7 linked regions of the Mus musculus genome follow. The protein of the gene in region 1 purifies or fractionates together with the protein of each later gene. This does not show direct contact. Links are inferred from orthologs where the notes say so. Each region holds a gene or a part of one and is shown on either strand. Other genes may lie near its edges.

The links.
Region 2: the proteins of Cul5 (region 1) and Pcmtd2 purify together in Homo sapiens (affinity purification with mass spectrometry; 4 studies listed by BioGRID and IntAct, counting the BioPlex papers as one, with this or other methods). This does not show direct contact. The link is inferred for Mus musculus from reciprocal best matches to the Homo sapiens genes CUL5 and PCMTD2.
Region 3: the proteins of Cul5 (region 1) and Socs7 purify together in Homo sapiens (affinity purification with mass spectrometry; 4 studies listed by BioGRID and IntAct, counting the BioPlex papers as one, with this or other methods). This does not show direct contact. The link is inferred for Mus musculus from reciprocal best matches to the Homo sapiens genes CUL5 and SOCS7.
Region 4: the proteins of Cul5 (region 1) and Asb3 purify together in Homo sapiens (affinity purification with mass spectrometry; 6 studies listed by BioGRID, counting the BioPlex papers as one). This does not show direct contact. The link is inferred for Mus musculus from reciprocal best matches to the Homo sapiens genes CUL5 and ASB3.
Region 5: the proteins of Cul5 (region 1) and Wsb1 purify together in Homo sapiens (affinity purification with mass spectrometry; 4 studies listed by BioGRID and IntAct, counting the BioPlex papers as one, with this or other methods). This does not show direct contact. The link is inferred for Mus musculus from reciprocal best matches to the Homo sapiens genes CUL5 and WSB1.
Region 6: the proteins of Cul5 (region 1) and Asb2 purify together in Homo sapiens (affinity purification with western blotting; 5 studies listed by BioGRID and IntAct, counting the BioPlex papers as one, with this or other methods). This does not show direct contact. The link is inferred for Mus musculus from reciprocal best matches to the Homo sapiens genes CUL5 and ASB2.
Region 7: the proteins of Cul5 (region 1) and Asb8 purify together in Homo sapiens (affinity purification with mass spectrometry; 3 studies listed by BioGRID and IntAct, counting the BioPlex papers as one, with this or other methods). This does not show direct contact. The link is inferred for Mus musculus from reciprocal best matches to the Homo sapiens genes CUL5 and ASB8.

Annotation. Positions count from the first base shown.
Region 1 is NC_000075.6:53,622,323-53,626,394, reverse strand, and holds part of Cul5 (cullin-5), read left to right. Parts: intron 1-400; coding exon 401-532; intron 533-2,113; coding exon 2,114-2,237; intron 2,238-2,584; coding exon 2,585-2,760; intron 2,761-3,451; coding exon 3,452-3,613; intron 3,614-4,072. UniProt on the Homo sapiens protein: Core component of multiple cullin-5-RING E3 ubiquitin-protein ligase complexes (ECS complexes, also named CRL5 complexes), which mediate the ubiquitination and subsequent proteasomal degradation of target proteins.
Region 2 is NC_000068.7:181,835,903-181,840,774, forward strand, and holds the start of Pcmtd2 (protein-L-isoaspartate O-methyltransferase domain-containing protein 2), read left to right. Parts: upstream 1-1,951; 5' UTR 1,952-2,082; intron 2,083-2,306; exon of another isoform or gene 2,307-2,632; intron 2,633-4,872. UniProt on the Homo sapiens protein: May act as a substrate recognition component of an ECS (Elongin BC-CUL5-SOCS-box protein) E3 ubiquitin ligase complex which mediates the ubiquitination and subsequent proteasomal degradation of target proteins.
Region 3 is NC_000077.6:97,386,200-97,390,271, forward strand, and holds part of Socs7 (suppressor of cytokine signaling 7), read left to right. Parts: intron 1-2,912; coding exon 2,913-3,048; intron 3,049-3,366; coding exon 3,367-3,487; 3' UTR 3,488-3,517; intron 3,518-4,072. UniProt on the Homo sapiens protein: Substrate-recognition component of a cullin-5-RING E3 ubiquitin-protein ligase complex (ECS complex, also named CRL5 complex), which mediates the ubiquitination and subsequent proteasomal degradation of target proteins, such as DAB1 and IRS1.
Region 4 is NC_000077.6:31,100,066-31,103,541, reverse strand, and holds the end of Asb3 (ankyrin repeat and SOCS box protein 3), read right to left. Parts: intron 2,506-3,476; coding exon 2,300-2,505; 3' UTR 838-2,299; downstream 1-837. UniProt on the Homo sapiens protein: Probable substrate-recognition component of a SCF-like ECS (Elongin-Cullin-SOCS-box protein) E3 ubiquitin-protein ligase complex which mediates the ubiquitination and subsequent proteasomal degradation of target proteins. Recognizes TNFRSF1B.
Region 5 is NC_000077.6:79,238,404-79,241,882, reverse strand, and holds the end of Wsb1 (WD repeat and SOCS box-containing protein 1), read left to right. Parts: intron 1-174; coding exon 175-288; intron 289-1,087; coding exon 1,088-1,195; intron 1,196-1,420; coding exon 1,421-1,580; 3' UTR 1,581-2,501; downstream 2,502-3,479. UniProt on the Homo sapiens protein: Probable substrate-recognition component of a SCF-like ECS (Elongin-Cullin-SOCS-box protein) E3 ubiquitin ligase complex which mediates the ubiquitination and subsequent proteasomal degradation of target proteins.
Region 6 is NC_000078.6:103,328,144-103,332,215, forward strand, and holds part of Asb2 (ankyrin repeat and SOCS box protein 2), read right to left. Parts: intron 2,374-4,072; coding exon 2,202-2,373; intron 1-2,201. UniProt on the Homo sapiens protein: Substrate-recognition component of a SCF-like ECS (Elongin-Cullin-SOCS-box protein) E3 ubiquitin-protein ligase complex which mediates the ubiquitination and subsequent proteasomal degradation of target proteins.
Region 7 is NC_000081.6:98,135,417-98,139,488, reverse strand, and holds part of Asb8 (ankyrin repeat and SOCS box protein 8), read left to right. Parts: intron 1-3,050; coding exon 3,051-3,683; 3' UTR 3,684-4,072. UniProt on the Homo sapiens protein: May be a substrate-recognition component of a SCF-like ECS (Elongin-Cullin-SOCS-box protein) E3 ubiquitin-protein ligase complex which mediates the ubiquitination and subsequent proteasomal degradation of target proteins.

The sequences.
Region 1 (4,072 bases):
TACAGTCTGAAAAATTTGGATAGTAGGAACTAAAAGATTAGTTGGTTTAAAGTCTCAAGTGTGTAGCTAGACATAGTGCTGCACCTTTAATCCTAACATGCAGGAGGCAAAGGTAGGTGAATCTCTGGGCTTGAAGCCAGCCTGGTGTATGTAATGAGTTCCAGGACATACCCTGTCTCAAAAATAAATAAATGAATGAAGGAATGAATAGAAGCAAGATTTGCTGTAGAACAGATTTGCTGTTGAAGCAGTTACTTAGAATTAGTTTCTCAGAGATGAGTACTCTAACAGGCCTGTCTTTGTAAATCTCTTCATCTTTGCTGTTGGGCATATAGAAAGGTCTACATGAAAGAAATGGCTGAGTATATAAGAATTGAAAGTAATTTTGTCTTCTGTGCAGCTCTTGGTACTTAAATATGTACAAAACAAAGATGTTTTTATGAGGTATCACAAAGCTCATCTTACCCGACGTCTCATATTGGACATCTCTGCTGATAGTGAGATTGAAGAAAACATGGTAGAGTGGCTAAGAGTAAGTACAACAATTTTTAAAAATTTTATTGGTGGTGTTTAATAGGCGCCTCACTGTTTTGTCTACATGTTAGTGCATGTAGAAGAGAAAACAGCTAGAGAGGTGCAAGTGTCTTATTAAATAGAATTGCTAGTGTGGGGAGGCCTCAGAGGCTATTCCAGAGAGATGTGGACAGCCCACAAGAGTGTAGTAGGGAGTTAAGGTGGAGGGAAAAAGCAGCTGAGAGAATCAAATTTGGCGGGTGGCAGAAGCCAGCAGAAACAAATGGCCCATACATTCCTTAGGACAGTCAGCTCAGCAGCTTGGATAGGAGCTGCGGAGTTCCTTGGGAAGGGAACTCATTTAAGTCACTGCCTTGGTTTCTACAAAAGATGAATGGAGAAAAAAAAGGGAGAAAGAAAGAAAAAGAAAGGGATGTGACTGATGCTGTAGGTGTGGTGGAGGTGAAAGCTTATTGTAAGCAAAAGGAGACACAGCAAGAGGCAGACACAGCTGGGAGAGTCCAGGGTGGTCATGACCCTGAGCCATGAGAGGAGAGAGAAAGGTGAAGGGAGAGACTGGAGCCAGATTTAGCAGCCAGGAGGCCAGAGGTACAGAATGGGGGAGGATAACCAAAATGTCTGGAATAGGGGGCTGAGGGATGCCAGGAGAACTCAGAGGCCAAGTCTGTTTGATATGTTAATATGCATCTCAGATATGTTAAATCGGCATCTTGGGTGACTGTTTTGGATTTGAAATTTAACAGATTCCTACCTTGGTGTAGGAATTGAATGCAGATGATGAGTTGTTTCAACAAGCACCTTTACCTGATGAGCCATCTCATTTGCCTAAAGTGTTTTTTTTTATGTTCCTGTTATTGATACAGCATATTATTCATGTGCATGCTAAAGTAATTGTTTTAGAATTGCTATTAATGTCAGACAGATTCATTTTATAAGAATATATAATAAAATATATAAATAGTAGTATCTAATAACGTGAATTTTCTTAATTTTAATCTTGCTTTCTTTTTACTGTTGTACTTTCATTTCCACTCTCAATTTTAACTGATTTTACTTAAGTAGTATCCAAGACAAAACAGCAACTTTTTAAAACCATGTCTGGTAAGAAATGCTTAACTATAGACATATTTGTAAATAAATAGTAACCGATGTAATTTTTTAAGAGGCTGGAGTGGTAGTTCCTAACTGTAAATAAAGGAAGTGTAGAGGCTTAGAGGATCATCTTCCTCGAATTTGTCAAGGCCATCCTGATGAATGGGTTTAGTTAGTGACCATGTACAAAGACCCTTAGCATGCTATGACTGAGCTATACCAGTGACAGCCTTCTGTCATTTGTCCTGACCGTATGGATTGAGGAGTTAAAGGTGTAGGTTGCAGTCCATGCAAACACATTTATCTTACATAGTGTCAACAGTAGTTGGAGTGGGAGTTGATTTTATTCACACTGTGGTAACTGAAATCCATGCACACTGGAATTGAACAGAGCAAAGAGTACCAAAAACTACTGTTTATTTAATACGAATCATGTAATAGTATTTATTACACTATATATAATTATTATCTGTCTTTATTTTCATAGGAAGTTGGTATGCCAGCAGATTATGTGAACAAGCTTGCTAGAATGTTTCAGGACATAAAAGTATCTGAAGACTTGAACCAAGCTTTTAAGGAAATGCACAAAAATAATAAGTTGGCATTACCAGGTATTATTTATAATTACATATAAGTATATATTTAAGCTTAAAAAATCTTTCTTTTTCTTTTAACAAAATCTTTCTTTTTTTTTTTGAAGATTTATTTATTTATTATATGTAAGTACACCATAGCCGTCTTCAGACACTCCAGAAGACGGAGTCAGATCTTGTTACGGATGGTTGTGAGCCACCATGTGGTTGCTGGAATTTGAACTCCTGACCTTTAGAAGAGCAGTCGGTGCTCTTACCCACTGAGCCATCTCACCAGCCCCCAACAAAATCTTTCTTAAACAAGATTTTTCACCAAATTTTAACTTGTCTCAAAAAGTTATGATTTCTGGTTTTCTTACCTGCAGCTGATTCCGTTAATATAAAGATTTTGAATGCTGGTGCTTGGTCTAGAAGCTCCGAGAAAGTCTTTGTCTCACTTCCTACTGAACTGGAGGATTTGATACCTGAAGTAGAAGAATTTTACAAAAAAAATCACAGTGGTAGAAAATTACACTGGCACCATCTCATGTCAAATGGAATTGTAAGTAGATGGGCTGTCAGTTTGGGTGTTAGTAGAAAGTGTTACTTAAGAGCTGGAGAGATGTTTCCGTGGTTACGAACTCTGCTTTTCCAGAAGATCTGGATTCAATTCCAGGCAACCACATAGCAGCTCACATATTCATAACTTCAATCCCAAATAGATTTGATGCCCTCTTCTGGCCTCTATAGGCATTTGTGGTGCATAGGCATTTATGCAAACAAAACACCCACACATGTAAAATAAAGTAAAAACAAAACAAAAAGCTAAGAACAAGAACAGTGGCTGTGTTTTCAGGACTGTAGTTTTCATCATTGTGTTGCTTACCAAACAGACCTCTTGACTGTAGAATCCAGTCTGATCCCCAAACAACCCTCTCTGTCTCCCTGCAAAAAGGAGGGCAAGAAGGGAGAAGAACCTTCTTTTAAGGCAACCTATAAGCATTCTCCTCACCATTTCTACTTCAAACACATTGGACAGAATGAAGTCACATGAGTGACCACATTGAGCTGCAGGGAAATCTGGGCGATGCATTGTATGTGTGCTAAGATTATTACCTCTGAGTAAGGAAGAATGGGTCTTGGGGAAAACTAGCAATCTCATTTTCCCATAGTATCTTATGTGCATTTACTAGGTATTGGAGTAAGCTTCATGAAGAAATGAGTTACTTATTAAAGCCCATTATCTATTACAGATAACATTTAAAAATGAAGTAGGTCAGTATGATTTGGAAGTAACCACGTTTCAGTTGGCTGTGTTGTTTGCATGGAACCAAAGGCCTAGAGAGAAAATCAGCTTTGAAAATCTAAAACTTGCAACGGAACTCCCAGATGCTGAACTTAGAAGGACTTTATGGGTTTGTTTTATTTTCTGTTTGGCTTTGTTTTTAAAATAGCATTGTGTCACATAGCTGGGATGGCTTCTAAAATTGGATTTTTGGTGCTGAGAGTTAAATCTCTGGCCTTGTACATGTTAGGCATACATTCTACCACTGAACTACATAACTAAGCTACTGTAAAATTTTTAAATTCATGACACTCGAAATATGACTTTCAACACAAAATGCACAATATTGAGGAATTTATAAAAAACAATATGAAAAGAGGCTAATTGCCAAAGTGGAAAACGAAAGAGGATGAGAAGAGGGAGAGACTGAGCTGGTGTTAAATGTGTTTAAGGAGTTCTAACAAAGACACACTACAGTTAAGTTTATAATCAGTGAGTTAGTTCTTCTCAGTTTATAAACTGTGCTAATGCTTTCTTGATTATAACTGCATTTAGTTCTGACTCTGTAATATGAACTCCAGAATAAACT
Region 2 (4,872 bases), on another chromosome or scaffold:
GTACATACACACATGTTCATGTATACTTATTTACATATGCATGCAAACACCACAGACACACCAAATTTAAAAAAAGCAATTAAGTGTGTAAGGTTGCTACATGTCCTTTCATAGCTCAGTAGCTCACTTTTCAAAAAATCCCTGATTAAAACAGTTATGTGGCTATACCTCCCATCTATTTAATATTTTTTGTTGCTTCTAATGTTTGATGATTACAAATGAAGCTGTTATACTACCTACATGTGCTGGTTTTGTGTATAGTGGTAAATATCTAGGAATTCAAATGGTGATTTTTTAAAAAGTTTTATGTATGTTGGAATAGTTTTGTACAGCCCTGGCTAGTCTTGAACCTATTACACTGCCAAAGTATGACCTTAATCTCCTGGTCCTTCTTCCTCCACCACTAAGTGCTGGCATTACACTTGTTTGCTGTCACATCTTCTAAGACGTTGCTTAGTTCAGTAGCAAACTGACAAACTATTTTCCAGAGTATCTTTATTATTGCTCATTCCCACCAGCAATGAAAGTGATGTGCTGCTGTTGCTCTACATCCTCACCAGTATTTGGTGAATTATAGATTTTATAAATTTTGGCTATTCTAATAGGTGTGTATTGATATCTCATTGTTTTATAAATCTGCATCACCTAATGACAAATTATGTTGATATGTTCATATGCTCATTTGCCATCTGTATATTTCCTTTGCTGAGTCATATGTTCATAGCTTTTTCCCGTTTCTATTTGTGCTGTTTATTTTCTTATTGTTGAGTTTTAAGGATTTTTAGAAATCCTTTATCAGATATGTGTTTTGGGAATATTGTTTTTCAGTCTATGTCTTACCTTTTTATTCTTCTGACAGTATATTTTACAGAGAAATGATGCCAGTGTTAAAAAGATATATTTTACCTTTAAGTGTGTGTGTGTGTGTGTGTGTGTGTGTGTGTGTGTGCACATGCCTGAGTGCCTGCAAAGGCCAAGTGTCTTGGGTACTGGAAATCAAATTTGGAAGAGCTATGTCTCTATTATTTTTACACGTGGATGTCTAATTATTCCAGCATCTTTTGTTGAAAAGACCAGCACTCCTCCATTGAATTGTATTTGTTCTCTTATCAAAGGTGAGTTTACTATATTTGTATAGCTCTAACCTAAGTTTTGTATTTGATAGCATCAATTTATTTCCCCCATATGACTCTTGATTACTGTAATTTTAATAGTAAGTCATGAAATCAGATGTTGTTAGGCCTATACTTTTGTTTTGTTTTGTTTTTGATCAATATTGTGTTATCTAGTTCGGGTCTTTAGCCTTCCCACGCAAACTTTAAAAAATAGTAGAATCATTTTCTCCTCATTCGTACCACAATCAACTGCAGGTTGAGTGACTTTCTTACAGCTATTGACTCAGGCGTCCAGACTCCTTCCTTCTTGACACTACTTCCTTCAACATGTACCCTCCAAGCAGTATAGAGGAGATGTGCAATCCCAATGAAATAGAACAAAAACTCAGAACAATCTTGAAAGGTAGCCCTAAAGATCACTTAGACTTTGGTCTATTTTGTAGGTTTCTTAGAAGTGGCCAGAACTGCTGGTTCAAGGTTCAAGTGTGCAGATGGCCATCCCCTGGACCAGGTAGCCTGGCAGGGTCAGGGCCGGCAGTCATTTGTGTTGTAACTCCTGCAGGAGAGTGGACCCAATCTATCACTCTTGTTTCTTAACTCCTGCCTTTTCTACTGTGGGGGCTTTGTCCTTGAGTGGACATAAGCAGGCAAAATGCCCTTCTCCCGTCGACACGCCAGCATCTTCTCATATCATTAGGCCGGGATATGCTCGGAGACCACCTAGTGACTGACCAATCAGGCAGGGACACACTTAACTCAAACCAGTGGGTGGAAAGTGGCAGGCTCGTGGGCTGTGCCGTTGCCCCTTTAAGAGTGTCCTCCAACCGCACATGCTCAGTTCAGGTAGAGCCCGCGCACGCGCAGAGGTAGCAGCGGATGTTTACAGCGGCTGAGGTCCGTCCGAAGCGACAGAAGCGTCTGAAGAACTGCTCTCCGAGACTCAATACGGGGGCTGCTGAGCGCCGAGGTAGAGCCGTCTCTGCCCCTCGGCCCTTCCCTCCATATCCCTTCTCCAGCTCTGGTTACCCGTTCCCCAGCGTCCGTGTATCTTACCATCTCCGAGAGTTTCGAACCCCAGCGCCTGTCACCCCCGCCCCCCCATCTCCCTGCCCAGCACCTCCCTCCCCTCCAGCGTGCCCCCCCACCCCCCGCCTGTTGCTAATTCTGGGATCTGATTGCTCTAGTTCTACAACCTATTTCTAATTAAGTAGGAAATGTTTGCAATTAGCTCAAGGGCAAGTCGGGCATTGACCATGATTGAAACAAATTATACCTAGGGTGGATATTGGGAAGAAGGCAGAGTATCCTACAGAGGAGAAAAAAAAGACCCCTTTGGGGAAAGATCTAAAGTAGCTGGAGAGAACCCCTGGGGCCTGGACCCTTTGTTTCTTTATTAGGCCTGTGCCTCTGCCATCAACTCCGTCATCTTGAGTATCTGCCCTCTGCTCTCTTGGGCCCTGCACTGTTGTTCTCTGTTCTTATTGAAGACATTGCTAAAGTGGGCTCCATTACGTCTGGTAGGTTGTCTCTAGAACGAGGTATTTAAGAGGCTCAGCACTGATTATATATAAAGGGAATTGAAGTGGGCCCTCTTGAGGTGGTGGCATTTGGTCTCTCCTTTTGCCCTGGCTTTTCTCCATCCTCCTCTGAGACCTTGCTGGGAGACTTGGGAGAAGGGACTCATTTTTCTTTTTTTCTTTTCTTTTCTTTTTTTTTTTAATTTCGGTTAGTCCCAAAGCTTTTCCACGCACGAAACAGTAGGAATTGTCCCTAGTCAGTACATACTACTGGTCAGCTTTCATTCAGATGCAGACCACAAGTGATATGCATTTGAGGCACACCCTCCAAGAGTTCTGGTTTTCAAGACAAGAAGCCTTGGCTATTTTCCTCGTTCTGCTGGCAGGATGATGGTTTAGAATACATGTTCCTAGCAAGGTATCCCCTAAGAAAGTGACATCCACTTGACTGTGGGCCAGCTGTCGCAGTTTTTTCAAACGCAGTATAGATATGAAACAGGGTTCTTTAGTCCAGCTTCACTTGTGTTGTTGTTGTCCACTTGGGGTCCTGTGCTGCTCAGTTTTTTTCCTATGCCCTTTTCTTCTGTTGGCCTGTGCTAATCAGTTCTGAATGGGAACTGTAATAAGCATTACAGCAAGTAGCAAAGTGTGTATCGTAGGGTAGTAAAGGAAGGACAATCTCCTAAAAAATAGTTCTTTGCTTTCAGTTGGAATCTACTGCACTGCATTCTTGTGCAGTGATACTGTTTGGTTTGGAGAGAGTATTTTCAAGTATGTTTTAGGGCTTTCTTTCTTTCTTTTGACATGGTGACTGATCACATCTATCTCAGCAGCAAGTAGTGATGCTTCTATGCAAGGCAATATTAGATTGTCAGACAAAGCTAATACTAAGTACCACACTCTATCATTATTCACCCACTCTCCACCAAAAGCAATTGATAGGGCTACCTTGGTGTTCTGTGTAGTCTAGAGAATGATCTACAATAGTCACACTTTCTGTTTTAAATGAGTGAATTTATTAAGTATATATAGCAAGCAAAAGTAAAAGAACTAGTTAGTAACAGAAGTAGTTGATAGAAAACATCAAGTTGAGTATTCACTTTAGTAGGGATGACTGGGATAGCACAGTTGAGAGACCAAACAAAAGGTAACAGCAGAAATCATCTGCGAAAATTCCATTTGAAGCAGCCATTTGAAATTCCTGATAGAGAACCCAAGTGAAGCTTCCAAGTTAAGAAAAATAGATAGATAGATAGTAGATAGATAACATCATCAAGTTGGGCACTTACAGTCATCTAGTAGAAATCAACTGGAGAAGTTGAGGCTGTCGGTTGGAGTTACCAATTGAACTTTCTTTTCTCTCCATGTTTGAGATTGCCATGGCTGAACTTCTGGTTTCTTGTTTCTACCAAGGCATTTTTATACCATGCAATAAACAGTCTTGTAAATGGCTAGTCTTTTAGCTATTCTCAAGGACAAATTGTTTTACTCTTGCGCTGTTTTGTTCTTCCTTTCACCCATCATAGAATTAGGTACCCACCAAGCTCCAGGAAGAGGTACTTTGGAGAACATTTGGAGACTACTAGAAACAAACATACTGGCGTTGGTACAGGAGAGTCCTCACTCTCATCATCCACTTTCAACAGACTTAAACAGCATATGACAGTTTACCAACACAATGCACATTATACTTGATTATCAAAGTATTAACAAGAAGTTAACAAAGAATGGTGTTCTTTTGTGAGTCTTTAACACCTGTATCCATATTGTGTACAAAACAAAAGCCTTTGGCTAAACAGTGCTGGTTTTACCACAGCTCCTCTGGCAGTCTGTGACTGTGAGCAGTTTAGTAACTCAGACCAGCTTGCCTTACCTTCTGATGTTCAATGTAGTGCTGTCTGGTAGGTAGTAGCTATAAAAACAGGTGGCTGATTTTTATTATTATTATTATTACTGGAATTCTTTTAATGTGGAATTAGCTTTTACTTCAGTAAAAAAATTCAGTAACATAAATGTCTAGTACAAATGAAATATATCTAATGTGGTACCTGCTGAAGATTAATTTATAGAACTGGGATAGGGTGAAGAGGATGGCTTTCTTGATTATGTAGGACATGTGTTAAAGGTTTTTTCCTAAACTGAGCTGTAAGCATATAAATACATTACTCTATTTTCAACTGGTGTCCCAAATTTTAATATGACTATTTTAGATCAGTAGTGTAGCAATAGAACTAAGTGGC
Region 3 (4,072 bases), on another chromosome or scaffold:
CAAGGGTACTCTACACAGCCATGCTCACAGCATCCACGGTGATTATAGATCTGTTAAATGGCCGTGCTAACTATCACAACTCCACCTCTTGCCCCTTAGAGGCTCATGACCATGTTAATAATGTATATTATATATTCCAACTGACTTTAACGATCCCCATTGTCTTTAACAATTTCATCTTTTTTGTTTTTCCAAGACAGAGTTTCTCTGTGTATCCCTGGCTGTCCTGAAGCTCACTCTGTAGACCAGACTGGCCTTGAACTCAGAGACATCCACTGCCTCTGTGAGTGCTGGGCTTAAAGGCGGGTGCCACTGCCCAGCCAATTTCATCTTCTTTTTAATTAAAAAAATTGTGTTTATTTATTTGTGTATATGTATATACATTTGTGTGCCTAGTGCTCATGAACCATCAGAGGACAGCTTACTGGAGTTGGGTCTTTCCTCTATCTACCATATGGGCTCTGGAGATTGAATTCAGGCTGCCGGGCTTGAATTCAGTGTCTTTACCCACTGAGCCACCTTGCCGACCCATCACCAGTTTTTTAAAAAAGTCCAAGGTCTATTTTTTTTTTTTTTTTTTTTTTGGTTTATCGAGACAGGGTTTCTCTGTGTAGCTCTGGCTGTCCTGGAACTCACTTTATAGACCAGGCTAGCCTCGAACTCAGAAATTAACCTGCCTCTGCCTCCCAAGTGCTGGGATTAAAGGCGTGTACCACCACTGCCAGGCCAAGTCCAAGGTCTTAACTGTGAGTTCCTATAGAATCAAACACTTCCGGCTTTCCAGGGTTCCGGGGGTTTGAGAGCCTGGATTCTCTGTTAAAATGAATCTAGGTCTTCACACACAAGATGGACCTCTAAGGGCAGAGCTTTCCTTCGGGACGCCTTCCTGTTGTGTTAGTGAAGATAGGCACTCTCCCTTCAGTGGTGCTGGTCTCTAACAATTACAACTGCTTTCTCAGGATTAGCCTGAGCACTCTCTGGTTTTGAAATTTCCTTTGCCAAACAAATTAGTCCATTAGCTTTCCTCTGTCTCAGGTTCTCAAGCTGTAAACAGAATGAAGGCACATTCTTGGCTAAAATCGTACATTAGTGGCCTCTAGCGCAATTCCTGATAGAATCCTTGTTCCCCCTGGACCCTCATGAGGGAACACGTCAGCAACCATGACATGGCTTTGGAGACAATCTACAGCCTTCACTTCCTTTTTTCCTCAGGCCTTCAATCAAAAAATTTTAAAGCTGTTTGAAATTAAACCCCAGTAATTGTAGAATTTTATTTTCTAACCATTTGTGTTTGTAGTATTTCTTTGGATATGACAGTGGCTAAGAAAATAATTCCTAGCTGGGTGTGGTGTCACACACTTCTAGTCCTTGCACTCAGGAGGCAAAAGCAGGTGGGTCTCTGAGTTCAAGGCCAGCCTAGAGCCTGGTCTACAGAACAGGTTCCAGGGCAGCCAGGACTACACAGAAAAATCCTATCTTGAAAAACCAAATGTGAGTGTACTATCACTGTCTTCAGACACTCCAGAAGAGGGTATTAGATCTCATTACAGATGGTTGTGAGCCACCTTGTGGTTGCTGAAAATTGAACTCAGGACCTCTGGAAGAGCAGTCAGCGCTCTTAACCTCTGAGCCATCTCTCCAGTCCACTTCTCAATCTTTAGTTTGCTTCTCTTAATCTTCATAGTCCCATTGCTATGGAAACCAGAACATTGTTAGTTCATTTGAATGTTTTAGTCCCTGATGTCCTTGTCCTTGGTGGCTGGGTTCTGTGGCATTGACTGTGGGGGTTGGGCTTCCCCAGCACAGGAGCTCTGACCCATGTAGGAGTGTTTGCTTGGAGCCTGGCAGGTACACAGGACAGGCACCTGAGCACTGTTGCATGAGGCCCAGCTTGTGCAGCTGCAGTAGCTGTCTTTCAGAAGCATTGGTGTTGTTCCTGTAACCCAGCCTAAGCTCCAGTAGGAGAGGGAGAATAGCGAGGGAAGAAAAGTACCAAGCTGGCCTGGCCTGGCCTGGCCTGAGTAGACAGTTGCAGGAGTGGCAGCCTGGATACCAGCTCCACCTGCCCCCTTCCTGCTCACTAGTTGGAATGCTGTGGGGCCTTTGAGCTGAAATATTCTGTACCAAAACCTCCACAGAAAGGACTGGCCTCTCAACATGTGACCCTTTCTGGCCATAAAGGCTATTCAAACCACTGTACCTCTGAATATCCTGAGCTCTGATCTTTAAGATACTGCTAAATAGTGCTGCACAAGTATCCCCGTTCCCAACAGGGAGGCTCTGGGTTGTCCTTCCCTGAGAACCTCACGCTTGGACTTGGTCCCTTGGCTCCAAGCAGGCTCTATCGTGGTCTTGTTCATTGGGCTATTTTCCACAATTAAGAGTGATTCTGGGCCCAGCAGTGGTGGCGCACGCCTTTAATCCCAGCACTTGGGAGGCAGAGGCAGGTGGATTTCTGAGTCCGAGGCCAGTCTGGTCTACAAAGTGAGTTCCAGGACAGCCAGGACTACACAGAGAAACCCTGTTTTGAAAAAAAAAAAAAAAAGAAGAAGAAGAAGAAGGAGAAGAAGAAGAAGAAGAAGAAGGAGAGTGATTCTGGAACCCAAGTATTGGGACTTACATCTATGGTCCCAGTACTCAGGAGGCTAAGACAGGAGGATTGCTTTAGGTTGAGGCTAGCCTGTCAATAAACCAAAATGTTGCTGGGGAGGTAATCAGAGGACAGGAAATTCCCTTGAATGGTAATGGTGCTCTCACAGATGGCTCTCAACAGCCCTTTGTAAGGGGCTTTAACACAGAGTATATACATGAACTCTAAAATAGCCCTGTGACATCTTCCCCACAGCACTTCTTCTGGGAGCTGTAGTTAGCTTCGTTATTCTGAGTATCTTCCTTTGGTTTTATTCTTGAAGGACTGCCACCAACTCCAGTACAGCTGCTCTATCCAGTGTCCAGATTCAGCAATGTCAAGTCCCTCCAGCATCTTTGCAGATTCCGGATCCGGCAGCTTGTCCGAATAGACCATATTCCGGATCTGCCACTGCCTAAGTACAATGGGGTTGTCAGGGTTTGGGGTGGGGAGGGAGTGAACTAGAAGTGGAAGTGCCTTTGACGCTTGCAAGCTGCTCCTGGAGGCCAAGCCTGACGTAAAGCGTTTGTAGGCAGTGTTCTTTCGATTCTTAGCACTTAACTCTAGAGCTGTGACATTGCAGCAAAGGGAGCAAGATGTGTGTGTCATACAATATGAAGAAATGGAGAAGGGAGGAGGGCTCAGCAAGAGATGTATTCTTAAAGGAAACAGCAGTCATAGTTTCTGAGAAATGTCCCTGTAAATGGTACCCTCTCTGTCTCCTTGTTTTTCCACAGACCTCTGATCTCTTACATTCGAAAGTTCTACTACTATGATCCTCAGGAAGAGGTGTACCTGTCCCTAAAGGAAGCGCAGCTCATTTCCAAACAGAAACAAGAGGTGGAGCCTTCCACGTAGCAGCAAGGACCCCTGCTGTTGAACATGAAGGTAGGAACACCCTGTCTCTTTCTTTGCCAAGCCTAGGCACTAGGTTACTTCCTGGCCCACAAATTTGTCTGATAATTGATTCTCTGATAGGTACATCATTTCATTTGAAGAAAAACACAACAGTCATGAAGGCCCTAAACCAGTGGTTCTCAACCTAATGAAAGCATTTTTGGAAATAGAGGTTTGCCAAAGGGATCACAACCCACAGGCTAAGAACTGCAGCCTTATAGAGTGTTTGCCAAGCCAAGCCTTTTAAAGCTACAGTTGTGGATTCAATTCATTTATTAGTCAGATCTACCTGAAACTAAAAAGTAAAAGAGAGCTGAGGATATATTTCAGTAGGAGACTACCTGCCTAGCACTCACGATGTCCTAAGTTAGATTCCTAGTTACTACTCAAAAAATGTTTTTTCCTTGCCAAGCTGAACATGTTATATACCTGTGATCCACTTGGAAGTTGGCGCAAAGAGGATCGTAGTGTGCAAGCTTCTCACTGAGCATAAGTAAGGCACTCACAGTGTGACTGCATATTTGCTTTGGCTGGTCTTCAGGATAC
Region 4 (3,476 bases), on another chromosome or scaffold:
GGACAAAATAATTGTTTATTTGCTGCAAGACATTATGCACCAACAATCATTTGTCATTTAATAAAGCAGTAAAAATGATAGATTGAAAACAAAAACCCAGCAATTGGGCCTTGTAGGTGAGAACAAAAGAGAGAAAACAAACCAAAAAAACAAAACAAAACAAAAAACCAAACCTGTAATGTCAGAGTTACTAAGTTTTCCTTGTAGTTGTTTGTTTAGAAATTTCTTTTTAAAAGGCAAGAAAAATGGAAATAGCATGATTATAAAATTACTATGCTAGTGTGTGCAAGTTGTCAAATATGACCATATTTAACTAAGAAACACTGCCTCCTCCCAAAGGGAATGTGTTCCTGAGATGCCTGAGGCCCCCACTGGCTCTCATCAGAATGCAGGAGTTTTCAAATAACTGCTTCAAGTCCCATGAAGACCTAAGTAATGGACCTCCTGGTATCAGTTTTACCCACATGTAACTCCTGACACAATTACATGTGCCTGGAAAAACAGGTATACACATCCACCCACTGAAGATATAAGCCAATGTGTTTAATGTTCTTGGTTTCTCCAGTACTTAACTATGAGTACTAATGCCCTCTACAGTCACCCTCCAGTCACATGGCTGGCCAGGTGTCACAACTCATTATCACTGCTCAGCATCATCAGAATCCAAGAGAATCTCATACTATGTATTGCTGCCTTAGGAGACGATCAAGCTTCAAAGTGCAGTTTCTATGAGATGCTGGTCACCTTTCCACTACTATAAAGTCAAAAACTCATCAGCCAGGGGCTATCTGTATTGACTTTCAGAGCTTCAAAAAGAAAACCACAATAATAACTTATGGGAAATCAGGGTTTTATAATACATTTGGACATGAACAAAATACATTAAAAGGTAAACTCTTTTAAAGCACTCTATATACACTTGGCCATAAGCAAAAACAAAACCTGATACAGAGTTTGAAAAATAAAAGTCACATTATTTTAAAAATAAAATTTTAAAAGTTTGGAATATCTTTATTAACCAGAACTATCAGAATTTCTGCCTACTTTTCAATACCTAACTTTATATCCTCACAAAACAAGACTTGAATGTAAAGATGAGCTTGTCTTCCCAATCAGTTATCAGTAAGACATTATGCTTCTTTCAAGGGCTTATCAAAATGCGACCAGCTGATCTACCCAGTCTCAGGTTGCTGGCAAGAGATGAAGGCTTGCCTCCTTTAGAAACCAGCCTGTTCTGTCTATATTGACAGCAACACTCTAGTACCTTCTTAAGGCTAGTTTCCAATTCCCTAAATAACTGATTTGATCATGTTTGATTTTTCTTGACTCGAGGTTTAAATAAAATAGTTGTAAAAATTCACAAGGCAGTAGTATTCTGAGGTCCATATTTCATCCACGATCTGAAAATACATCCAGACATTAAGAAAAACATTATATTGATGTGATATAATTGACTATTGGTGACTAACAGGAACAAAGCTGCTCTCTTATTCTGGAGCTGAATGAAGCCTGGCTATTATATTTAGCATTAAATTAATAAAGTGTGCATTCTTTCCCTATAGATAGTGCTGTATGAATGTCCTTTTCAGGTTTCTTTATTAATATTCTAAGTGCAGTAAAATACTTCTAAAGATGACATAAAATAGTTTATGCTGTGTATGACTTTGAGTTTAGATGTGTTCTTGTCTTTGCAAACTAAAAATCAGGTATCTTTTGCCAAAAGTATAAAGAAAGAATGAACCTAGGGGGCGAGAGATCAACAATATGACTGACTTTTTATGTTCTTTTTTTTTTTTTTAAAGGACTCCTGATTTTACATGTGAAAATGCAAGAGTATCAACACCTCACAAAAATGTTTGAATTAAGGACTGAGAACAGATTATAACATGGAGGAAAGTTTCCTCTTAATAAACATTGAAGATATTCATCCCTAAGTAAAATAATAATGAAATATAATTCAAAAGGACAGATGTTATAAATTCTTCTGGGGAAATTTATGGATTCTATCCTTAGATTCTAGCACAGGTGAACATGAATCCTAAGTAGAAAGAAGTCACATCCAGCACCACATCAGAATTACAGTTTATTAGCAGAATAAAGTAGAAAATGGTCAGGTAAACAAATAATACACAACAAAGTGCACTAGAAATAAAACTGAGTAAGGCAAGATGGATAAGGTTCACAATATTGGGAAAGACACAAACTGGGAAAAGCAACTGTAAACATGGACATTTGATCACCAAATCCAAACAGTCACACAAGCCGTCTTTTGTGACTAAACAGAATTAAAGGACCTGTGTCAGGTGGCCTTGCTGGTTTCTCCATCCTGATTAGCTGCTGGTTCTAGAATCTCATTCATTCTTAAAACCTCTTCATAGAGCAAATAGTTCTGCAGACTTCTGGGAAGTGGCAACTGATGGATGAAAATGTCAGAGTGAAGGTGCTCTGCTTTTAGACTGGCCCGAATTTCCAAACGACAAAGATGGGTTAGGCTTGGAACAGAGGCTGGAGAAACAAACAAACATAATTTTCACTAACAGTGGACTGAATAAATGGTTGGAAAAGTAATAGCTCTTGTTGTGAAAGCATGACGACCTGAGTTTGAACTTCAGAAACAATGGAAAAGCCACAGTGGCGGCCAGCACCTCTTACCCAGACAAAAACAGGAGCATCAGTGTAGCTTGCTGGCTACCTCCAGATCCAATGAGAGACCCTGTATCAAGGCAAGTGATATACTAACATCCTCCTGTGGCCCCCAACATGTACACACTATCATGAATACTTACAAAACATACACATACACACAAGCAATACATTAAGATAAGCATCCAGCCCATTTTATACAATAAAAAAGAAACACTACGTTGCTTAGCTCATTTTGAAAGAAGACTACTGGTTCAGCATGACTACATGAAACGTGTATGTACTTTTTCCACTTGCTTGATCTCACTTCAATTGGTCACATACTCAAGTCAGCATCCAGAGACAGAAAAAATAAGTCTTTAAATTTTAATAATCTGACAACACAAGCTAACACTTAAGAAAACCCTAAGTAGAAATTGCTATTTCCCTCTTAGTCTGTTTTACTACCAAAGGTTCTGAACGTAACACATGAAACCGAGGGATGTGCAGCCTGACCATTTCCTCTTTGCATCTATGACAGAAAATAAAGTTTCAAGGTCTGTGAAGATGGCTCAGAAGTTAATAACATTAGCTGTTCTTCCAAAGGACCCAGGCTCAAATTGTAGCATCTACATGGTGGCTCACAACTGCCTATAACTCCAGTTTCAGGGGATCCACTACCCTCTTCTGACTTTAATAGGCACCAGGCATGCATGTGATACACAGAAATACATGCATAAAAAAAATCCAGAAAATTAAAAAAAATACTTTTTTTAAGAAAGAAATTTCAAAATCGGCACAGAAACAGAACATTCACTGAGTGTTCTCTATGCTACACACCCACCACATATTCT
Region 5 (3,479 bases), on another chromosome or scaffold:
TAAAATGAACAGCTCTCTGTTTCATTGAATTCGGCTGTAACAGTTCTCTTCAGTCTTAGTTGTATCATCAAAGCCCCACTTTAAACCTTATTCAGAGGCCAGTGAACTCGGTACCAGGGCTATTTTGTTTCTTGAATTGATTCTGAAACTTTGCAAATGTGTCTCTGACCCCAGGCACCTGTTTCCCTCGCCCACTCCAATATTTGCTGGAGGAGCAAATGACCGATGGGTGAGAGCTGTGTCTTTCAGTCATGATGGACTGCATGTTGCCAGCCTTGCTGATGATAAGTGAGTATTATGGAGTATAATATAGTTTTGTCTGTAGTCGTGATTTTTAATGAAAGTGTGCTTTAACTCATAACACACTCATAAGCTTGATTTAGGTTTTTGTACAGGAGTTGTTTGTATTTGAAATGGTTTTGGTATATGGGCCAGATTGATCTTGAACTAAAGATCCTTTTACCTCTGCCTCCTGAATGCTGAGAATTCTATGTGAACCACCATGCCCATCCTGTCTTTCTAGACAACACTTTGGAAGGTGTTGTTTTTTTGCTTAACTGGCTGTGGTGATACACCTGTAAATTGATGGCCACTGCTTTTGAGATTAGACAAATGTAGAAAGGAGTAAATCAGATTGTGTTATATTTTATTTGTAAGAAAATGACAAAGCTTCCAGTTGTGAACATTACAGGTTCAAAGCCATGCCTTGTAATCTCTTTGGAGTTTATCCAAATTACCAAATGATAATAAAATGTAAACTAGTCTGTATAGATATATAAAGCACGATAGTATAGAATGCCTGTAATTGCAGCATTTGGGAAGCTTCTAGCTTGAACTGTGTAGTGAGACCCAACCTCAAACAAAACAAACATATTAACTAGGTGGAGAAGACAGACCTGTAATCCCAGCCCTTTGGGCAGTAAAAGCAAGTTCAAGAATTTGATGCTGGCCCGGATTGTGTGCATATGAGCCCATCTCAACCAAAGTTACCATGCTGTTTGAGTGACTCGTGCGTATGCATGCTGTGATCAGAACACAGGACAGGAGCATTGCTTTCTGACTTACTCATTCTGGATTTCCCTTCCAGAATGGTGAGGTTCTGGAGAATCGATGAGGATTGTCCGGTACAAGTTGCACCTTTGAGCAATGGTCTTTGCTGTGCCTTTTCTACTGATGGCAGTGTTTTAGCTGCTGGGTAAATACATTTTTCTTGTTTCTTTTTCTTTTGAAAACTTATTTTTCTTTTATGTATGATTCTGTAAATTTCCTAGACAAACTCTTTATATAATCCTGCTACTTGCCTTGCCTTGGAGTTCTTATTAGAGTCTAAGGTGAGATGTATGGATCTGATCTACAGCTGTAGGGACATAGGACAAGTGTAGTTGTGTAACCATGATTTTGTTTTTCCATTTCTCTGAAGGACACATGATGGAAGTGTGTATTTTTGGGCCACTCCAAGGCAAGTCCCTAGCCTTCAACATATATGTCGCATGTCAATCCGAAGAGTGATGTCCACCCAAGAAGTCCAAAAACTGCCTGTTCCTTCCAAAATATTGGCGTTTCTCTCCTACCGCGGTTAGACTGAAGACTGCCTTTCCTGGTAGGCCTGCCAGACAGAGCGCCCTTTACAAGACACACCTCAAGCTTTACCAGCTCAAGCGTCTGTCCTTGGAGGCTCAGCAGATTTATTTAATTGGAATCCACTCTTATTCTTCATTTCATTAGTTGGACTTTTAAAGCATTATTTATACACCATAGAAATATTTCTGAACATATCATGTAATTTTTTTAAGATAACTGTGAAAACATTACATACATGTATATATTTAGACATGAGCTGCTGCTATATATTGAATGGGCCCTTTAGTTTTCTCTTAGTTCTGACCTGTATATATTGCTTTAATAGAGCCACGATTTGTATATGTGCTGTTCATTAGAGCAAATTCAGGGGAATTTTTGTTCTTTTTTTTTTTATTTGGGGGCACTAAGTTTAGATGAGATGAATTGCCTCATAGGAAATGGAATTGGTCAGGATAGATGGTGTGAAACTGATAAGAGGTTTTGGATGTGAAAAAGAGTTTCCAAAAGAATGGTGTCTGGGAGTTTGAATGTGATGATTAAAAAAAGAGCCAAGGAAAAAGGTAGCTAGAAAAAAAGGTTGGCTCTCATCAGCCTTAATTTTGGAAAGCAGCTACTTACCCCTCAGAGAATAAAGTATTATGCATTCTTGTCAATTTGAAAACTACATCTACTGTATTATTGCTGAATATTTTGTTAATACTAAGGGACAATTATTTTAAGACCATGGGTTTTGTTTTTAACATATTTTATTTCTGCAGAGGATATTGGTAACTTACCAAAGAGAAGCAATACACAGTATGTCTGCTTTAGCCTTCTTTTATTTATCTCATCTGCAGATGTTGAGAATGTATGCATTATGTAAAATGCTTGTTTTTTTATCCCTGTTGAGTTTTTTTAATTAAACGACACAAAACTACTACATTGCCGATATTTCTTTCATGGGTTGCATTGTGTAGTCCTTTTGTCTAGCTGTACTGTAAGGTTGCTGGTGGGTCCACAGATGCTCAGTGCAGAAGGCAGTGAGGAAGGATGGAAGCATGTACAGGAAGCATCACTTTGTGCGAGCATGTGTGCGGTGTGTTCCACCACCGTGTCCTGGGTGCTGCCATAGCACCCACACAGTGTTCCTCCTCAGGCACACTTAATGCTGTAGAGCAAAGAACAGCAGAGCAAAAGAAGACCTCAGAGCAGTGGACCGCCTCAAAGTAAGCCGGCCTGGTTAGTGATAGAGGCTGATAGTCTGGGTCCTCAAGAAGGCACTCTTAGCCATGTATGATCTAAAGGCTATGACCATCCACTGAGTATTGATACGTTCATGTTGGCCAAGTATATGGAAGTAGTTAGGGAAGCCAGAAAAGACTACCAAGTGCTTCCTCATGGCAGCAGCTATATTATACAAAAAACAGAGGCATCTCTAACCTTAGGGGTTACCCCCCATTTAACTTGTATACTATAATTTTAAAAATAAGATTTAAAACTTTCTAAAATTGTCAAATTTTAAATATACAAAAAATAGGATTTTAAAATTATAAAAATAATCTCTATGAATATTTACTTTTTATAACCACAGCAAATACCAGTCCTGTAACAGTAGTTGAATAATACACACTCTGCTTAAGATGCTTGCAACCCCAGTGTCCTAAGAAAAAAACACAACAGTATAAGACCCATGTAAATATGCCAGGGCCTCCCTTTGTCTTGGAGGGAGGGGTTGTGACCCGCTTGTGGTGCTGCATGCCCAAAGGGAGGCAGGGGAAAAAGGTGGTTGGGCTTTTTCTTGGTTCAGATTCTAGCTATGTGATTTTAGATTGAGGTTGCTTTTTTAAAATATTCCTTGCCACAGCCATGCCATTTGGAGAACTGAGAAGAGATTACCATTCAGATTTGATTGCCTGGGC
Region 6 (4,072 bases), on another chromosome or scaffold:
CTCAGCATCACCTGGACCTGATGACAGCAGCTGAACGCTGGGCCGTCTCGAGTATGCCACTAACCACTCTGAAACACACGCACCAGAGGTTACACTGAGGCATACTAGTGACAGTGACAATGACATATCACCAAGCACTGTCTGTATGCCAGGCGTCCTTTAAAGTGCTCTTCACAGTCACCCTTTAATTCAAAAGTGACCCCACAATCTGAGCCTCTTGCTTCATGTATTCTTCATACATCCCAGCGAGGGGGAACTTGCACCACGTGGCAAAACAGAACCCTGCCGTCTCTTTTGCCAAGCCTGGTTTTGAGGCTAACACCTCCCACTTTTGTTGGATCGGCACACAGTAGGCTGTTAGAAGGCAGTTAGAAGTCTGCGTCCTAAGCATTGACAGCAGGCCCTGTCCTGCTGCACCAAGCTAGAGGAGACCTTAGTCAACAGGTCATGGTGGCCTGACCCTTGGCCAATAGAGAGGTGCTAAGTTCCTGGAACTCATTCAAGCCCCATGTGGAAATCCTGGCACCCCGCCCCAGGCCAGCCCAGTGCCATTATCTAAGGTGGGGCCTGAATCCGGGCTGTACAGCCAAGGTCAGGAGCCCCTGCCTTCAAGGGTCCTTGGCCAAATTCTTTTCCTGCTCACAGGGTCTTTGGAAATCTACCTGCTCTGCTATAAGACACTGGAAATGGATGACAGTAAATGTGCCTAAGGAATGGGGATGCTAGGTTCCTCTATCAGCCATGCCCCAACACACCCCACCCAGTGTGCTGAAGAGCAGGCACATCTGGCAAATGGCCTCAGGCTCCAGGCGTTTTGCTCCGGGCCAGGGGTAGGCAGGGTGTTTTGGCAGGTGGCTGAATGCCTATGGAATGTCACATCAAATCCCTTCTCAGCCTGTGGGAGGCCAGCATGGGGAGGGCCTCTGATGCCACATGCCCAGGGTGTGAGCAGAGAACAGTGGCCCAGCCAGGTGGCAGGGGCTGCTGGGAATCCAACTTTAACCCTTCGCTGGGAAACCCTCAGGAAAGCAGTTGTATGCATGTACAGGAAGGTCTGGGGCTCTGGGGGACAGTGTAGGAACCTTTGGGGCCTTTGGTTCATTTTCAGTGGCTATTTCTCTTCCCCTATCCATCCCCTGCCTCACTGACAGTGCCAAACATAATCTGTTCTCTTTCTTCTGAGAGTCTGAGAAGTTAGAGCACCCCCCAGTGTGGCACCCAGGGCACACGGCATGGCTTTTCTAGTAACTGTGAATTACTGTCTCACTATACCACTGTGGTGAATGTTTCCTTTGAAAACGATTTTAAGGAAAAGGATATTTTAAAACTAGTGAAAGTTGTCTAAAATCAAAAGAAAGCTTGCCAGGGTCTGTGACTGGGAACTGCCCTACCAGTAGAGGATATCCTAGGCATGGGGATGGTCCCACTGAGGCACGAGGCTCTTAGCTACCTGGTCAGTTTCTTCTTCTATAAAAGGGGCTGTCCCACAGCTCGGCAGTGAGTCCACACTTTAGAAATGACCAGTGTCCATCTGCAAGGACAACCAGCATCCCCCTGACCACCCCACCCAATCACCCTTTCCCACCCACAGTGTATAGGTGCTAAATTCCTAGCAATTGGCTCTCAGATGAGTGGGGTGTTGGAGGTGCCAGAGAAAAGCTCACTCCATGGTGTACAAGCTCCCACCATGGTCAGTGTTGTGCTACATGTGAGTGAACATGTTCCTGGGGGGCGGGGCTGCAGTGGACACATGAGCCCAGACAGGCAGCCTCCAGTGCGCTCTGCTCCAGCCCTTGCCAGGTCCCTTCTACGGGGGCCAGCATGGAGCTTAGGTCTGGATGATCTTTCATCACATCATGAATGCGTGTGGACTGTTCATCTCTGTGTTTGTGGGGGGAGAGATTTCCCTCCCACAGACTGCTTCTGGAGAAGTTGAGCTTCTCCCACCCGAGCATGATGTTTAGGGAGGTACCCGGTGACTGGTCCCTGTCCGTTGCTGTGAGCATCCTCAGCAAACAGCTAGCTGACCTGCAGGTTATCTCTGCATCCTCCCACCCCACCGAAAAACAAACCAAACCAAACAAGCAAACAAAGAAAGAGTCCTCTCAGGGGCCATGGAGATCAAGTGCCCTGCCCCGCCCCTGCCCTCCTTAGGCATCCCCGGAGAGCTGTGCTATACACAGTAAGGGCTATGGACTGACCTATAGTTGCCCTTCTTGGAGGCAACATGCAGGGGGAGCAGGCCGTCCTTGTTGGCTTTGTTAGCATCGGCGCCCTGAGAGAGAAGAAACTCTACCACGTCTTCATGCTCATTCTTGCTGGCCTCGTAGAGGGCTGATGCACTGTCACTGGCCTGCGTGTTGATGTCTGCACCTGGAGAGGGAGAAGCAAGCAGAGCCATGAACGATCAGTGGTTCTGCCATAATTTAGTGCCACTGTGTGGTGAGCACCTCCAAGCTAACCACTGGGTGAGTAGGCTGGGCCATGCCTACTGCCTGAATCCAGGAGGACCCATCAGACGTCAGAGCTAAGGTAAGTTCCTTGTCACAAAACCTCGTCTACCCTGTTTCTCTGAATCCATATGGAGTCCTGAGAGGCCAAGTTTTTCATCACAGACCAGGACACAGGACATGAGAGGACTCAGGATAACCCACTCATAGATGTGAAGCTACACTTGAATGTATGGTCGGAAGATGTATTCTAGACTAGGCTTTCAGCCCTCACTACGGGCCCTAGGCTGTGTGCCCTGGCAGCAGCAGCAGCTCCAGCTAGGTACAAAGCTCCTTAAAGGAAATCCTACTGACTGTTAGTTGGATTTGGGGTTGATGGTTGTGGTTGGTTGTGGTTGGTTGGTTGGTTGGTTGGTTGGTTGGTCTGAGGCATCATCTTATGTAGCCCAGGCTCGCCTTGAATTCCATATGTAGCCAAGGATGGCCTTGAACTTTTGAACCTCCTGCCTCTAACTCTAGAGTGCTGGAGATTGGACCCAAAGCTTTGTATAGGATAAGCAAGCACTACCAACTGAGCCACAACCCCAGTCCTGGGCTTGTTTTGTTCTCCATCTGAAATAGGAAAGAACTGGCTTCTGCTATCTTCTTAAGGAACCATGGAGGGACTGGAGAAATGGCTAACTGGTGAGGACCATGTACACATCTTACAGAGGACACGGGCTTCAGTTCCCAGTACCCACAGTGGCTCACAACTACCTGTAACTCCAGCTCCAGGAGATCTGATATCTGTGGGTAGTTATACATCACACACACACACACACACACACACACAAACACCCATACACACACACACACACACACACACACTTTAAAAAAATCATGAAAATAAATTTAAAAAAGAAACTAAACACTGAGCCATGCTTGTAGGAAGGGGGCTGAAGCCTGGTAGCAGCTTCCTGCCATCATCTTATCTTTTACATCTTCTGCATCTCTTGGAGTGAGAGAGCAAACCGGTGTGCACATGATTTCTCTGTAGGCTCCACACTGTAGACGAAGATTAGCTGAGATAGCTCAGTAAAGGCTGAGATCAAAGGCTTGTGTCAGCCACAGCTCCTCTGTCAGAGCCATCTGCTCCTCTCACCCTTTCCGATGACTTCATTTTCAGCAGCGGAGGACTTGTCCTGGCCTTCTGAGAAGAGCACCAGGCCTTGAGGGCTCATCAGGACCATGAAAGTTTCTGTACCATGACTCCCAAGCTCTGGGGCCTTAGACAGCTTTTAGAAGCCTCAGTTTACCTGCTTGTTAGTCAAGAGTCATAGTCCTGCCCTCTCCTGTTTAGGGTGAGGTGTAAATAACATAACAGAAACATAGCACCAGCCTCAGAAGCCACTGCTGTCTAGACAGAGCTCAGGGCAGAGACTGTCCCTTCCCTCAGAGGAACAGTATAGGGACACCTTTAACAAGCCCCTGGGCCTCATGCTTAGGCTCCCCCGCAGGCCTAGGCTTGAGCAAAGCAGCCTGCTCACATAAGGAAAATATTTGTATAGGAACTGGCTTTAACTCCCCATGAAGGGAGCAGTCCCTGCCTCAATATCGGCAGGGAAGAGGGCGACTGCCTGGAG
Region 7 (4,072 bases), on another chromosome or scaffold:
GAGCAAGGCAAACAGTTGTACTAAGGGTGACTGGGCTATGAGGCTTGGCTCAAGGGGTTTCAGAGGAGAAAAGGTTTAGTGTGTGGCCTAGAGATTGATGATAATTTGGTGAAGACTGTGGCCGCTTTTGCCCTTGTCTGGAAGAGTCTGTCTGAGGCTAAAGTGGAGAGATTTATATTAATTGAATTAGCAAACAAGCTTTCAGAACAGCCTAACCTCATCATGGAAGCGTGTGGCTCGGTCCTCTGAAGAACATTTTCATGAAATGTAGCAAGCTTAGAAAGGAAAAAAAGAAAATGTGTAGTTTGAGGATTAGAAGGACACCAGGAAGTGGGATGGAGCTAAATCTTGTGTTCAAGGAGATTAATAGGTTAAAGATATCAAATGGAATTAAGGGAGTGGTGACCTTGGGACAAGATCCCACAAAACTCAACTTCATCCTGTGAAAAGGAAAAGCTTATAGAAATCCCAACACCACTGGAGACAGAGGCCAGCAGATCTCCGAGTTCAAGGTCAGTCTACAGAGCCAGGGTCAGTCCAGGACAGCCAAGCTGAAGGAGCTAGAAAAGAGAAAGCTGGTGAGAATGTAACAGGAAAAGGGGGTCGTGTTCCAGCCCCCAGCAAAGCAGCAGAACTCGGCAGCTTTGGCAATGTGGCTCTGGGTTTAGAGTCAAGAGTAGAAGGGGTTACTGGGGCAGCTGATGCTGGTTAGCTAGAAGTAAGAGATTAGTGGTGATAAAGAGACCAGCATCTCTGAGGTGAAATTATTTTAACGATCTATTTATTTATGTATATGAGTCCACTGTAGCTGTACAGATGGTTGTGTACCTTCATCTGGTTGTTGGGAATTGAATTTAGGACCTCTGCTTACACTGACCAACCCTGCACGCTCAGTCTCTGCTCGCTCTGCCCAAAGATTGATTTATTATTATAACTAAGTGCACTGGCCGGGCAGTGGTGACGCACGCCTTTAATCCCAGCACTTGGGAGGCAGAGGCAGGCGGATTTCTGAGTTCGAGGCCAGCCTGATCTACAGAGTGAATTCCAGGACAGCCAGGGCTACACAGAGAAACCCTGTCTTAAAAAAAATTAACTAAATAACTAACTAAATACACTGTAGTTGTCTTTAGACACACCAGAAGAGGGTGTCAGATCTCATTACAGATGGTTGTGAGTCACCATGTGGTTGCTGGGAATTGAACTCAGGACCTTTGGAAGAGCAGTCAGTGCTCTTACCTGCTGAGCCATCTCTCCAGCCCAAGGTGACATCTTCTGGGAAGTGTTTTCTGAGAGCACAGAGACTGTGTTCCAGAGATAGCCAAGGTTGCACCTCGTGCTGCAGCTGGACTTGGTGATGTGTAAGAGTCACCCAGGTAGTACTGGTCTTGAAGGCATGAAGGGGTCATGAAGAGCAGCTGAGGCTTAGCACTGTGAGAGGCCATGGAAGGCCATGTGTGAAGGTGCAGCCTCTGTTGTACTTTACGGCCTATGGCTGAAGGGGTCATACAAAGGAGTTGAGGCTTGGCACTATGAAGAGAGCCTATGAGAGGCTATTGGTAAAGTCTAGTTGAAGCAGAAGACCCCAGTATGTTGTAGATGCCAGTACCATGGGATGATCACCAAGAGTGGCGGCAGCAGTGGAGTGGCTCAGCCCGAGCCTAGAGTGCTACAGGGGGCAGAGCTGGATGAGTGACCCGAGCCCAGATCACGTGTGGGTCCCAAACATAGGAACAAGAAGCTGTAAAGTCGAAGTTCCTTTGGAGACCCCAAGGTGTTAGAGATGCCAGAGCCATGGGCTATCTGCTGAGGAGAGCTGCTAACAGGGAGTGGAAGCAGCCCAAGAAAAAGAGCTGTGTTGCAATCAACAAAGCTGAAAGAAGATGGAGAGGCAGTTTGGTGTTTGGTCGTGCTTTGGTCCTGTATTTCCTCACTATAACGTTTGGAATGGTAATGTATATCCTGTGATGTCAGAAGTATGTGATAGGCTTTTGATTTTGATATTAGAGAGGATTACAGTTAAGAGATTGCATGAATCTCAGAACATACTTTGAATTTTAGACTTCTAATTTTAAACATTGCTGAGACTGTGATAGACTATGGGGACTTTTGAAGTTGGGGTAAATGCATATTGCATTGTGTTATGGGTACAAGCCTATATGGGGGCCAGGGAATGGAATGTGGTAGCTTGAATAGGTTTGGCCCCCTTAGATGCATGCATCTGGATGCTTGACTCAGAGAGAGCAGCATTATTAGGAGGTGTGGCCTTGTTGGAGGAAGTCCATCTCTGTGTGGGTGGGCTTTGAGGTTCCATAAATGTTCAAACTGTTTAGTATAAAGCACAGCAGGCTCCTCCTTCTGCCTGCGCATCAAGATGGAGAACTCACAGCTCCTTCCCCAGCACCACGAGCACCGTGTCTGCCTGGACATCGCCGTGCTTCCACCATCCGTGCAACGGACTGAAGCTCTGACGGCTGTGAAGGAGTTTCCTTGGTCATGGTGTCTCGTCTCAGCCATGGAAACCCAAACTAAGACACAGGGTGTGAAGAGCATCTTAGGCCCTCTGTAAACTAGGACTTTGAGATGATAGTTTGAGTGAGGCAGCAGCTATCCCAGCACTGCAAGTTTGTGCTCTTCCTGCCAGTGAGGTTATCTGAGTCTCTGTAGGGTTAAAAGCACAACAAAGTGAAAGAACTGAGTTCTGTCATCATTATTTTTCCTCCTGGTTTCCATTAATCACACGATAAGTGTCAGGGTAAAATAATGCTGTATTTCTCTCAGCAGTAGTGCAGACTTGGACTTCATCCTTCCCTCCTTCTTCCCTGCCCAGGGCAGCAATGCTCATAAGCAGAGAGGTGGGCACTGGTTAGCCTGATAGCTGTCTGAGGTCAGACAGTTTTCTACGTCCCTCATCCCATCTTGCTCATCACTTCCCACATTGTTGAGAGCATTGCATGACAAAGGCAGTGGGAGAATAAGCAGAGGACTCTCTGACAGCCTCTTCCTTCTCCCAGTGCCCTGCCCAGTGTAAAATAGTTCCTTCCTCTCTGCAGGTCAATGCCCTGGATGGTTACAACCGAACGGCCCTCCACTATGCAGCAGAGAAAGATGAGGCTTGTGTGGAGGTCCTACTGGAGTATGGGGCAAACCCCAATGCACTGGACGGCAACAGAGACACCCCGCTTCATTGGGCAGCCTTTAAGAACAATGCTGAGTGTGTGCGGGCTCTCCTGGAGAGCGGGGCCTCCGTCAATGCCCTGGATTACAACAACGATACGCCGCTCAGCTGGGCTGCCATGAAGGGAAATCTTGAGAGTGTCAGCATCCTTCTTGATTATGGTGCTGAGGTCAGAGTCATCAACTTAAAAGGCCAGACACCCATCTCCCGCCTGGTGGCTCTGCTAGTGAGAGGACTTGGAACAGAAAAAGAAGACTCCTGCTTTGAGCTCCTCCATAGAGCTGTTGGACAGTTTGAATTAAGGAAAAACGGCATCATGCCCCGAGAAGTGACCAAAGACCAGCAGCTGTGTGAAAAACTGACTGTGTTGTGCTCAGCACCAGGGACGCTTAAAACCCTCGCCCGCTATGCTGTGCGCCGTAGCCTCGGTCTCCAGTACCTGCCCGACGCAGTGAAGGGTCTCCCACTGCCAGTGTCTTTGAAGGACTACCTGTTACTCTTGGAGTAGCTTGGAGGAGGCATTGCTGCCGTCATGCGGACGGCTTTGGGTGAGGCTTCCTTGCCATCCTGTCTCTTTGTTGTCAACACAGAAAAGAAGGTGTTCCTGCTGTGTGGTTTATAGATTTGAGGCAACACATAACAGTGACTTATGCATCGCCTCCCCTCCCATCCCAAGCAACCAAACCAAAACCATTTACCTCACTTGTTTGCCGTGTTATTGCTTAGTTGCTTTTTTATATTCAGCCCTGCAAAAGAAGTCTTCCCCGGATCCCTTAGGCACTTCAGTCACCAGTGTAACCCATTTCCTAGGAAGATGTCACGTTCTCAGAGTGCACAGTTCCCTTTGGGGCCGTGCTGTAGCACGGTGACAGAGTTCCTTCTGAAAAGTTCTAGTTG